3 linked regions of the Neurospora crassa OR74A genome follow. The protein of the gene in region 2 binds, or shares a complex with, the protein of the main gene of each other region. Links are inferred from orthologs where the notes say so. Each region holds a gene or a part of one and is shown on either strand. Other genes may lie near its edges.

The links.
Region 1: NCU04009 (region 2) and NCU02256 share a complex: the UniProt entries of both Saccharomyces cerevisiae proteins name them as parts of the RNA exosome complex. The link is inferred for Neurospora crassa OR74A from reciprocal best matches to the Saccharomyces cerevisiae genes RRP4 and RRP6.
Region 3: NCU04009 (region 2) and NCU00334 share a complex: the UniProt entries of both Saccharomyces cerevisiae proteins name them as parts of the RNA exosome complex. The link is inferred for Neurospora crassa OR74A from reciprocal best matches to the Saccharomyces cerevisiae genes RRP4 and RRP45.

Annotation. Positions count from the first base shown.
Region 1 is NC_026507.1:3,162,818-3,167,237, forward strand, and holds the start of NCU02256 (exosome complex exonuclease Rrp6), read right to left. Parts: upstream 2,895-4,420; 5' UTR 2,762-2,894; coding exon 2,184-2,761; intron 2,125-2,183; coding exon 1,791-2,124; intron 1,736-1,790; coding exon 179-1,735; 3' UTR 1-178. Other genes in the region: NCU17251 (hypothetical protein), read left to right, coding at 3,444-3,484, 3,537-3,574, 3,636-3,712, 3,781-3,874, 3,930-3,931. UniProt on the Saccharomyces cerevisiae protein: Nuclear-specific catalytic component of the RNA exosome complex which has 3'->5' exoribonuclease activity and participates in a multitude of cellular RNA processing and degradation events.
Region 2 is NC_026506.1:2,432,362-2,436,091, forward strand, and holds NCU04009 (exosome complex exonuclease Rrp4), read right to left. Parts: upstream 2,301-3,730; 5' UTR 2,018-2,300; coding exon 854-2,017; 3' UTR 552-853; downstream 1-551. Other genes in the region: NCU04008 (mitochondrial ATPase), read left to right, coding at 1-546; NCU04010 (malonyl CoA-acyl carrier protein transacylase), read left to right, coding at 3,431-3,620, 3,691-3,730. UniProt on the Saccharomyces cerevisiae protein: Non-catalytic component of the RNA exosome complex which has 3'->5' exoribonuclease activity and participates in a multitude of cellular RNA processing and degradation events.
Region 3 is NC_026503.1:3,487,012-3,490,463, reverse strand, and holds NCU00334 (3' exoribonuclease), read left to right. Parts: upstream 1-1,391; 5' UTR 1,392-1,460; coding exon 1,461-1,627; intron 1,628-1,708; coding exon 1,709-2,435; 3' UTR 2,436-2,918; downstream 2,919-3,452. Other genes in the region: NCU00335 (pre-mRNA-splicing factor cwc15), read right to left, coding at 119-907, 999-1,031; NCU00333 (ADP-ribosylation factor family protein), read right to left, coding at 3,237-3,452. UniProt on the Saccharomyces cerevisiae protein: Non-catalytic component of the RNA exosome complex which has 3'->5' exoribonuclease activity and participates in a multitude of cellular RNA processing and degradation events.

The sequences.
Region 1 (4,420 bases), on a different chromosome or scaffold from region 2:
TTGGTATCTATGTCTCTACCATAAGCCATCTCTTTCTCTTCTCCTGTCGCATATACTAAAACGCACCGCGATAATAATAGTCCAAGTAAAAAAAATAAGTGGCATCAATGGCCAACACAGCACTGATCGTTCCATAATCTATCCTATTTGCCCTCCATCTTCCTCATCCGCCGGCTCCTCACTTCTTAAAGGTAGCCGTCCTGCCAGCCGCCTTGGCCGTGTAATGCGCTCTTGCGCCCTTGGGTCCTCCCTGAGACTTGTTTTCATACGGGTTAAACCTCTTATTCGCCTTCTTGACGTCCTCCTGAGTCTTGCGAGCACGCAACACCGACGCAGCCTGAGAGTAATCAAACGGCTGATCTTCCTTCTCCTCGCCCTCCGCCTGCTTAGCGGCAGCAGCAGCTTCTTCCTGCGCCTTCTTCTTTGCTTCCTTCTTGGCGGCCTTCTCTGCCCTTCGCTGGGCCTTGAGAGCTTCCTTGGCCTGCTTCTTCTTCTCCTTGGCCGCTTTCCTGGCTGCCTTTTTGGATTTCTTGGATGACTTGTCGCTTGCCTCTTCCTCCTCCTCCTCTTCTTCCTCGTCGGAGTCGTCACCTTCGGCTTCACCACCGGTTTGCACGTCGGTTTCGGTCTGAGGCGCGGAATCCTCCATTTCGGCATCTGAGGCCTCCTCTTCTTCCTCAGACTCTTCCTCGCGCTTGCGCTTGCCTCCGTTCCTAAGAGTGAATTCCTGGTTGACTATCACCTCTTCCGGCGCCGGCTGGGGCTCTGGCACCGCCTCTTCTGGTTGATCCACCTCCATCTCAGCCGTAGATCCGTCCATGAAGTCGGCCGGATACGGAAGGGTGATTTCCAACACGTCGTCAAGCTTGGCAGTCTTCGCAGCCGTGCCGTCCCAGACTGAGCTCAGAGTGACGCCGCCCCAAAATTGTGACCGGTCAGCTTTGAGCTCCTTGACGTCCGGAATGTCGCTATCGTCGGCGATGACCGCAGCAATCTTGGCGGGGGCGAGGATAGATGACTCGCTCTTGAAGATATCCATCATCTTGGGACCGTTCACACCTTCCTCCCTAGCCTTTTGAATGACGTCGAATAGATCATCCAAATGAGACTTGAGGCCCTTGGCGTTGCTATCCAGAATACTCCACAGAGCCTTCTTGTCGGTCGGGAGTATCCGGGCAATGTCGGCCAGAACCTGCTGTGTCATAAAGAAGAAGGGACTCTCGTCCTCACGACGAGCCAAGTTGTCACGCCATTGATGTACGGCCTTGTAGACGGCAAACTGCTCGCCGTTGTAGAGCGTTGGGGACTTCAACAGCACATTATACCACCCGCGGGGTCCCTGGCCGGTTTCGACGTTGTAGCTAAGGTTCTCGTATCGTTGCAGGGCGACATCCTTGGACCTCTCGAGGACCTGCTCGAGAAGGTCAGGCTTCGGCTTTCCGGGTGTTGAGCGCTCCACGAGCTCGTTGATGATCATGTCGAAGATGTAGAGCAGGTAGTGGGTATCCGACCGCGCATAGTAAAACATCTCCTCGGGGAGAGGTCTGATGCGCCAGTCCGCAAGCTGATACTTTTTGTCGGCTTCGAACTCGGCAAACTTGCTAAGCAAATAACCCAAGCTCCTTCCAGGGTACCCGAGAACGGCGCAAGCATGATATGTGTCGAAGAGACCTACAACGTAGAGACCAAGATCTCTCTGCAGCCAGATGACATCCATGAAAGCACCGTGAAGAACCTGGGTCAAGTTAGTCGATAATACAGTGAAAGCAGAAGGCCAGGATGTGTCTCACCTTGACAATGTTGGGGTTCGCAAAAACCTCATTCAGAACCTCAAGCTTGTGCCTCCAAGGTTGAAGAGTATCAATGACCCAATCCTTCTCTCTGGTACTGATCTGCATGAGAGACAACAGTCCGGTGTAAGACCTAAAATCGTGGTGCTCCAGATCAAGCGCAATTTCCTTGGCCTGCTTGAGCTCCTCCAACATCTCCAAGACGCCCTCATAAGTATCAACCCAGATGGCGGATGTCGAATCGATAGGAAGGTACTCCTTGGGTTCGCGCTTCTTGTACACATGCTCAGGGTACGGTGTCGTCTTGATCTCGGTTTCGTAGGGGTGTTTGTATCTGGGAGATTCATGTTAGCGACATGCTCTTATGATATTGGAAAGAAAGGTTAGACGTACTGTGTGTTGTTGTCATCATCGACAAAGGTGGTCAGGCTGTCTTCCAGTGACACCTTGGCATGAGGCTTGGACGACAACAGAGGCTTCCAAGGACCGGTAGCGAAGTTATCGACCTTCTTCTCGAAGTTATTCTGTGGTTTGAGAATGTTGGCTCTCTTCAAGGACCAGTCAAGACGATCGTTAGACGACTTGACGCGTTTTTGGGCGCGGCCCTGGTCGGCGGGGGTAGGCGCATCCTTCCGCTTGATCAATCCGGTGTACTCGTCGAGGCAGGTGTCGGCTTTCTCGAGCAACGAGTCGATCACGTCGACAATGTTCCGCCATTGGATGTCCACGTCGTCGGCATCTTCAAGAGCGCCAACCTTCTGGCCGGTAAGATTCGCGGTCGACTTGAGGAGCCCGTTGGCCAGGGACAGAAGGCGGCCGGAGCTGTTGTCGAGTTGACCACCGACAGTCGGGTTGACGGTGCGCTGGAACTGAAGATCCTCGCTGGCGATTGAGTTGGCGGTTCGGGTCGTAGCGACCAGGGCGGCTTGGAGCGATTCCCTCAAGCTCTTGAAGTCCAGTGAGCCGTCCATATTGGCCGGTGGTTCTGGAGTCGTTGTGGTGTGGACGTCACTGGAAGTGGAAGCCCGGTTCAATTTTCCAAAAATGGTTTGTCGTTCTGCTGCTCTTTGGGAACTTTTTTTGCGGACAGTCCCAGCATGTGGCTTGTGGAGAAAGCGCCAAAGTGAACGGGACCTCGAAAAGTGGAAGCTGCCCGATGGATGCCATCAAGTGGGCCTCGAGTGAGCTGTTCCCGCTCTGCGCTGGTAGAGGTACCTGATGGCCCATGCTGGGAAGTAGAAGCACTAAAGTAGAGAGACTTTGGGCAGCCGATTACATAAGGCCAAGGGGGCGCTTGCCAAGAGCCAAGATTGTGCTGATCTGGACCACCAACGTTCGTTCATCCATCGGCGTCCAGGCTTTTGAGATCCGTCCTGTGACGAAGTGGAAGTCCGCAACCCCATTGTTGAATAGCACCTGGTACTTGTTGGTTTCCAAGCGGACTCACCGGTGAACGTTGATATTTGAGATTCCGTACAACCGTCTTTTCCACCAAAAATATTCACCTGGAGTATCTCACGAACACCCTTCTATACGATCTTTTGCCCAAAACATAGATATACCGTCGATACCCATAAGTCATCGGACACCGTACCAAGCCTATCGTTTTGTTGGCAACACCTACGGTTGAAAACATAGCTCTGGACTTTAAAGATGTCCCAGTCACTCGCCAAGGAATGCAACGAGGCCAAGGAGTAAGTTTTTGTCCTTCATACGGAAAGAAAACAACATCTTAACCAGTTGTAGACGTTACGACACTTGCTTTCTCAAATGGTACAGTGAGAGTAAGTCTACAGGAACAGACACCCCAACTCAGTGGACATGTGTGATACTTATACTGGACAGAATACCTTAGGGGCAATGGTACCGAACAAAATAACGAATGTTCAATTCTCTTCAAGGAGTATAGCTCTTGCCTGCAGGTAGGACGCAAAACCATACAGCGCCCGTACTCTAGCATCGAGATAGCTTACCATATGGCATTTTACAGGTTGCTTTGAAAGAGCGTGGCATCGACAAGCTGCTTGAAGAGGCGCGGGAAGAACTCAAGGACAGCGACTCAACATACATGGGCAAGAAAAAATGTGAGTTTGAGCTTACGAACATGGCCAAAGTTGAAAGGATGACTGACTTGCTCAGAATACCAGAGCTGGACGACGTCTGAGTACCTTACTGTACCACTCGTCGACCAACTCCTTGAACAAAGCCGCAACAATCCAGTTATTCTCCTTACATTGCTCAATTATCTCTTCTCCGTATATATCATATATCGCCTGGTATTCGTGGAAGGACTTTCCATTATGCACACCCTCCATGTCTTGAACAAAGCCCATGTACCAAAAGTGTCACCCGCTGGTCTTTGACTGTACCTTTCTGATTATATCTTCTGTTGAGTTGTTTTCAGTGCTCTCTGTTATGGACGGAAGCCATGGATGACTTCAAGTCGGTTGAATGTTCCCCTTCCAAATAAGGTTTCCCGTCCTTGAGAAGTGGATCCTCCCCAACATCCAATCGGTTCATTACAGAGTGCCGTGCAGTCGCAGCCAGGTCGGGTTGCGCTCGGGGACTCTGGCTTCTGGGCGCTAGAACTTAGAACGCTCCACACTCCCTGTAATACTGCCTAAACTGCT
Region 2 (3,730 bases):
CGTCCAGTCAAACCAGTCACCACATCATCAACAACAACACAAAGCACGGGCAATGGAACCGAGCAGGTAGCAGCAGCAGTAGTAGAAGGCGACGCAACCTACTCCGAAACCATTGCTGAAGTGTTCCAAGACTCCATCGCCCCTTTTCGTCCAAACATTTCCGAGTATGACCCGGACCAGGATTCGGATTTCGGTAAGGAGCAGCAAGTGTCGCTGACGCGCAAGGTGGACTTCAACCAGACCGTCTCGGCGTTCACGGGCCAGGACGAGCGGTTTGCGTACAAAAGAGCGACGAGCCGGTTGTGGGAGCTGTGCAGCAGGCAGTGGCATGCTAGGACCGATGAGGGTTGGTGGCAGCCGCTGCCCAAGGAGGCGAGGCATTGGGAGGGCAAGGAGGTTAGCAAGCCGTTGGAATCACCGTTGGTGAGGTTGAATGCGGGGCCGAAGGAGAAAACGGAGATTGTGATGGGGGAGTCGACGGTACTGGAGGAACCGGTGGGGTTGGAGAGGTTTAGGGTTAGGGAGATGAAGGAGGGGAAGAGGTGATGGGGGTGACGGTTGGATGTTGGTTTTCATGTAGATGCTCTGAAGATGATTACATGTACTCTTACGAGTGGTCTATGCAGACTTGTAAGCTATTATGTGATATACTTCCCCGGATACCGCCATATTTTGTGATCAAAGTGGCTTTGAGGCTTCACAAGCCACCACCAGCGTCGTGTTTTGCATAAATGGAAGCTCTTCAACGGCTCAAAGCTGATTGGCGACCCCATCAAATAGGGAAGCATTTTGTTTCTTCTTGGGTTCCCGAATGCATTACTACACGAGCCCCTAGACCCAGCTAGAACTAGACCTAGACAGCCGTCAAAGCAGCAGCAAGCTGCTCTCCTCTCTCACCACCCAAATACACATCCTCGGGCCCATCCGCGCTCACCAACGCCAGCTCCACGGCCTCATTATACCCCTTTGTAACCATATCCTCATCCACCCGCAATCCATTCTCCACCAGCGCCGTTACCACGCCCCTAATCCTCGCAATTTCCCTCATTGTCTCGGGCTCGATCCTGTCATTCTGGCTCGAATACATGGTAGCACTAACCACCTCTTCGAGGTTCGTAATGCCCGTCTGGCCCTTCGCCTCCTCGGGAACCACAGGCTCCACATGCTTTGAGATCCAGACATAGCCATTGACGCCCAAAATCACATCAATCGGACCGCCATTATTCGCACTCTCCAGCGTCCACACCTGTCTGCGCGATCTGACCACGCCTCCACCGCCGCCCGTGCCAGAAACAGCCATGAACACCCCGTTCCTCAGCTTGCCGTACTTGAGCGAGCGCGTGTGCAGCACCGCACCACCATCTTGGAAGAGCTGCTGCACCTCGGCCACCACCAGATCCCCCTCGGCAAAGAAAGTGCGGATCTGCAACTCGTCCGTCTCCGTTCTTTTGCGGAGAATGCCACCAGGAAGGTTGATGGCGGAAAGAGGCAAAGCAGCGAGCTGCGTGGACCCGACGTCGACCCGCCACCGTTTTGCCTGAACTTCGACGATGCGGCCGACTACCAAGTCGCCGACCTCGGGCGTGTAGCGGGCGCGCAGAGGGCGGACGGAAAGAAGCTTGTTGGTGCGCGTCACGATGCCGGCCAGCGAGGAGGTGATGGCTTGTTCACCCAAAGAGGCCGAGGAGAGGTAGGTGCCGTGGCCGCGCATCCATTGGGGGTCCGTGGTGATGCGCTCGCCGGGGGTGACGATGGCGGAGCGCGGGATGGAGTTGATGGCAGCGTTGGTCTTGGGGCGCTTGGTGAAGGTAGAGGAGGCGGCTGCGCCGGCGCCGGAGCGATGACGCTTACGAGGGTGGATGGTCGCGCCGCCGTCGAGAGAGACGCCGCCCGGTTGGGAGTCGGAGTCTTCAGAGTCGGAGGTGGCGTCGGACATTACGTCGTCGGAGTCATGGTTGAGGCTGTGGCGGGGTGGTTGGTCCCGGAAGGCTTTAGGTGGGAGGATTGTGATGGGCATGTTGTGTGGTTGTGGATGGTGTGAAATGGCGATCTCAACGTTGAGTGTTTGTTGGTGTGATGAAGGTCCGAATGAATCCTTCCTTCCTGGTTCCGTTGTCGACCTTCTCGAATCTCAAGTTCTACTATGTGACTATCCTGACCTGCAGAAGTTTGTTGTTTGTGTCGATTCGTCTTGTGGCCTCAAAGGATGTTGTATGGGCCTTCCAGTTGCTTAGTTCCCTTTGGAGTTGATGAGTTGACGTTCAAATGTTTGCGTATTGGAAATTCTGATATTGAAATCGATACGGTATTGACGATTGAACTTTACACGGTTGGTGGGGCCTTTGTTGTGCCTGTCGTCGTGCACGGGCACAAAATAGAGGCACATGCAGTGCAGGTACACCACGCAAAGTACGTAGGTACTCAGGTACTGTGTAGGTGCTGGGCAGGTACTTACCTCCTCCCGTCCGCGTCCTTGAGGTTTTTATCTAGCAACTACACTACCTTATGTAACTACAATGAGTGGATCTGGGACCTTTTCCTCCTCAAACCTACTTCTACTGCAAATTGAAAGCCAACAGTATTGTAGCCGCACCAGTGGCAGCCCAGGCGACGTCGCACGTCAGGTCCTTCGGTAGGTAGGTACACTACTGCTGCAGCAATGACGGGTGTCATCGTTGAATAGGTGTGAAGTGCCTGCCCCAGTGACAACGATTGGAGGTGCCATGGATCCAGATTGCGACGTTCGGAACTACCCCACCCACCTTCTCCACAAAGCCGAGACCCCGGGACAACGGGCCACCCGGGCGCTGGCTGGCGTGATCCACTCCCGGCCGCGGTTGTCGATTTCCAGGGCGGTTTGTTGAGTGAGAGCGAGATTTCCATTGATGACCGACTCGACCGCCCTCGTAAGCCCCTACCTACCGCGATTCAGTGTCCGTACCTGCTTACACAGCACTCTCGAGCTTCCACTTCTTGCAGGATACACCCGTCCCTACTTGCCCGGGAGGCCCTTACTGTTGCTACCGTTGAAAGCCGATCATCCCGTGTTCTTCCACCAGTTGCTGGCATCCCTTTGAACGGCCATTAGTAGTCCCGTCCGTCCTGCTCTTTGATTTGCTCCCATTGTTTACTTGCTGCGGGTTCACGCCGTCAAACATACCTGACTTGTTTGAATTCGAGATTCACGTCATCTACCACGACGTCGGATTCCACCAGACTACGACATAACCGTGTGCTACTCGGATTGGCGCCGATCGGATATCGACTACATATCGGGAACCATAGCGGTGGATCATCCCAAGACTGTCAGTGAAACCAGACCAAGATTCCGAAACCGATTCACTACACTACGCGGTAGATCGGACGGACCGAACGGACGGACGGCCTGGGACGGGCACCAATCGAGGTTTCCAGGTCCATATACACCGATATGCCTTTGCGAGGGCCCCTTCGTCGGCCTGCGCTTGCGCTTCCTCCTTTCACATGCAACAATGTCACCACAAAAATACCCCTCAGGATATCACCATTACCGCGCTCGGTAGCGGTACGGCAGCGTAGAGGACATGCGACACATCTCCCGGTACCAGACACGCGGCCAAAGACGGCCATCTTCTTTCCAGGTTCGTAGTAGTAGTAGTGCGCTGTCCTGCTTTGAACAGAGAACGATGCTGACAGCCATGAGATATACAGGCCAAGGCGTCCAAAGAGTCGGCATGCTCACGCCCTGGCT
Region 3 (3,452 bases), on a different chromosome or scaffold from region 2:
GTATCCTTCCGCTCTGGGTATCTTCGCTCCTCTCCTCTCTCCGCCACTGCGCAATCTTTCCCCAGCGGCAGCAACGGCAGCAACAAGCCCCCAACCTCAAACTCCTCTTTCTCCTCCCTCAACGAACGTACTTGCTCATAAACCGCCTATGGAAGTCGCTCCTCAACAAATCATTGACAAACTCCTTCTTCTTATTCCTATCGTCCACACCCCTCGCCTGGTTCTTGAAGACCACGTCGTCGTCCCACCTCCTCTTGACCGTAAAGTCCGGCTTGTTCAGCAGCGGGTTCCCGAGCGCTATGTCCTTCTCGCGCTGTTCTTCTTCGGCCTTTTGGCGCTCAAGCTCCTCGCGCTCGCGCTTCTCTTGACGCTCGCGACGCACGCGCTCGAGTTCCCGCTGGAGTTCGGCTTCTTCGTCGTCTGAGTCGGAGTCGGAGTCGGAATCAGAATCGGAGGAGTCTGAAGAGGCGTCGTCGTCATCTTGGTTCTTCTGGGCTTTTGGTGATTTGGCATCGGCGTCATCGGCATCCGCGTCGTCGTCATCAACATCATCAGAAGAATCATCCGCATCAATCTCCCTCGTCAACTCTAATATCCTTCGTCGCTTCGCTTCTTGGTCTTCCTCCTCTTTGTTGTGATCACCGCCCGTCAAAGCCAATGGGCGCTTGGTTCCCGCCTTCTCGTTATCGACATCGTCATCACCAGAGGTAAGAGCAGGTCCGCCCCTCAACTTGGCCTTGTGCGCCTCCTCGGCAGCCAGCAGCTCAGCGCGCAGGTCGCGCGTGTCGCGCTCTTCAGATGCCCCCGCAACGCCGCCTTGGCCGGGCTTGCGGAACTTGAGCTGGGTGTAGGCGGGTAGGAGACGCTGGTGGTAGGCGGGACCGCGGAGGGCTTCTTTGCCTTTGGCCTGGTTTTGAGAAGAATGGATGTTAGTGGGTGCACGAGAGGATGGCGGGATTGGTTGGGGATGAGAAGGATGAGGGTGGTGGGATGCGTACCGGGTCGAAGGTAGGTCTGTGAGCTGTGGTCATTCTGGCGGCTTGGTTCGGTTACGCAGTTCTTTTCTTGAGTTGATAGATGATGCCGGTGCGTGAGAGATGAAGCGCGCGCAATAGAGGGCGAGATGGGCCGTGATTTGTTGAGGGGTGTTGGAAGTGGAAATTGCTGCAGAGGGAAGTAAAGTTGTTCCTGATTTGAAGCAATGGCTCTGAAGTCTGAAGAAGGAACTGGCTGGCAGTAGTGGTACAAATGGATCCAATGACGCCCTGGGGTTCAGTCTCGCAGGCGCACTTCTTGACCGCCAGCGGCAAAACCCGCCAAATTCTGGCGGACTTTAGTGGCAGAAACGGTGACCATAGCGACTGCAACTGCAGCACCTACCTAACCAGTGATGTTGCCCGATTCTTTAGATCCGCAACCACGTATTTTCAAAGGGAAAAAGTAAACAAACCTCAGTCAACATGCCCAGAGAAGCAGAACCGTCAGCCAACGAGAAGGCCTTTCTCTTGAAGGCGCTTCAAGACGAACAGATTCGCCTCGATGGCCGTGAATTCGACCAATACCGTCCACTAGAGCTCACGTTTGGAGACGAATATGGCGTCGCCAATGTATCGCTTGGCAAGACAAAGTACGTTTGTGTACTCTCACCACCACCACGCATATCCTACCCCTGAGGCACCAAGATACTAACCGGGACTCCCATCTTTAGAATTCTTGCCAAAGCCTCCGCCGAAGTAACAGTCCCCTTCGCCGACCGCCCGCTCGACGGCATCTTCACCATCGCCACCGAACTCTCCCCCATGGCCGCGCCTCACTTCGAAGTGAACCGGCCCACCGAAACCGAAGTGCTGCTCTCGCGCCTGCTCGAAAAGACGGTCCGGCGCTCCGGCGCCCTCGACACCGAGTCGCTCTGTCTGGTCGCGGGGCAAAAGTGCTGGTCCGTCCGGGTCGACGTGCACGTGCTTTCGCACGACGGCAACCTGACCGATGCGGCCTGCTTCGCCGTCGTCGCCGCCCTTCGCCACTTCCGAAAGCCCGACACCAGCATGGAGAATGGCGTGCTGACGGTGTACACGCCTGCGGAGCGGGAGCCGGTGCCGCTGGGCTGGCTGCACTCGCCTTTCTGCGTGACGTGGAGTTTCTTTGGCGAGGAGGGTGAGACAGCGTTGTTGGATGCGGATTGGATGGAGGAGCAAGTCAGGGTCGCCAGTGTCACGATTAGTTTGAACAGGCACGGAGAGATCTGCCAGATCGCGAAGCTCGGGGGTGTACCGGTCGAGGCAGTTGCGCTACTGCAGTGTACCAGCGTGGCGCTGACGAAGGTGAAGGAGTTCTCCACTTACTTGGATGACAAGTTGGCGGAGGACGCAAAGAGGAGGGATAAGGGTGGGTTTATGGCTGAGTTGAGGGCGGAGAATGATCGCATTGTTGGGTGAAGCGGTTGAGGACGTAAGAGGAAGAAGTGAGATACCCAGGTACGGCCATAGAGCCAAGCAGAACAACAAGGCTGTGTGGTTGAAGGCGAAACCTGACGAGGATATGGGACAGCTCTACAGCTGGTCTCTTTACTTTTCTCAGTCAAAAGAGAACGGCAAGAATTGTCCAAGAGGCAAGTCACTCCGCGGAATGGGCTCTATTATTATGATGGGGGGCGCCGCGAGTGCCGTATCCTCCCTCATGTCTAAAGGGAGTTATCCCGTTAGCGGCGACCGAAATTGCCATCTAACGTTACACAGTGTATCTCGCCATCAGCTCAGTCCCCAAGTCCTCATCTGCCGCTAAAGCTGCCAGATGAATGAGGTGAAAGCATTGGCGCCAGGTAACCACAGGGTCCTAGCCTCTATCTCTGGACGCAATGAGCTCCAAACTTTAGTTTAGACCAAGCCTGAGCCCTAAATTTGCTTCTACGCCACTCCCCCCACGATCCAATCTTGCCCGAATCTGAAGTGATTTGATCTGATGGCAGGGTAATCTCGCGTGATGGCAGGGTGTTGTAGGTCTTTTTGGAAGAAACCTGCGTGATCACGTACCGCTCCTGGCCTAGTTCTTAAGTCTTCCAGGAAGCGATATTGATCCTCGACGGCAGGCAAGATCCAAGCATTGCCTGCCGAACCCAAAGGGAGGATTTGGCTCCCACATAGAATCCTCTGCCCCGGCGCTGTCGATGTTCGTCGATATTGGTCGCGAACGTGGGTTATGTCATGAATTGGTCTTTCATCATCAACCGCTCCCGCTTCTCACCGCATAACCGGCGGCCTCGACTCCTTGTTCCACTTTACCCTTGACCTAACCCACTCCACCGCCTCCCTCACGCCCGTCCCCGTTAGTGCCGACACCGGCAACACCCTCGAGTCTCTGATACTTGCGCTCTTCTCGCCCTCGAAGACCTTCTTTACCAAGCCTTCCTTGATCCGCACCACCTCTACGCAGTCTTCCCGGTCCTGCTTGTTCGC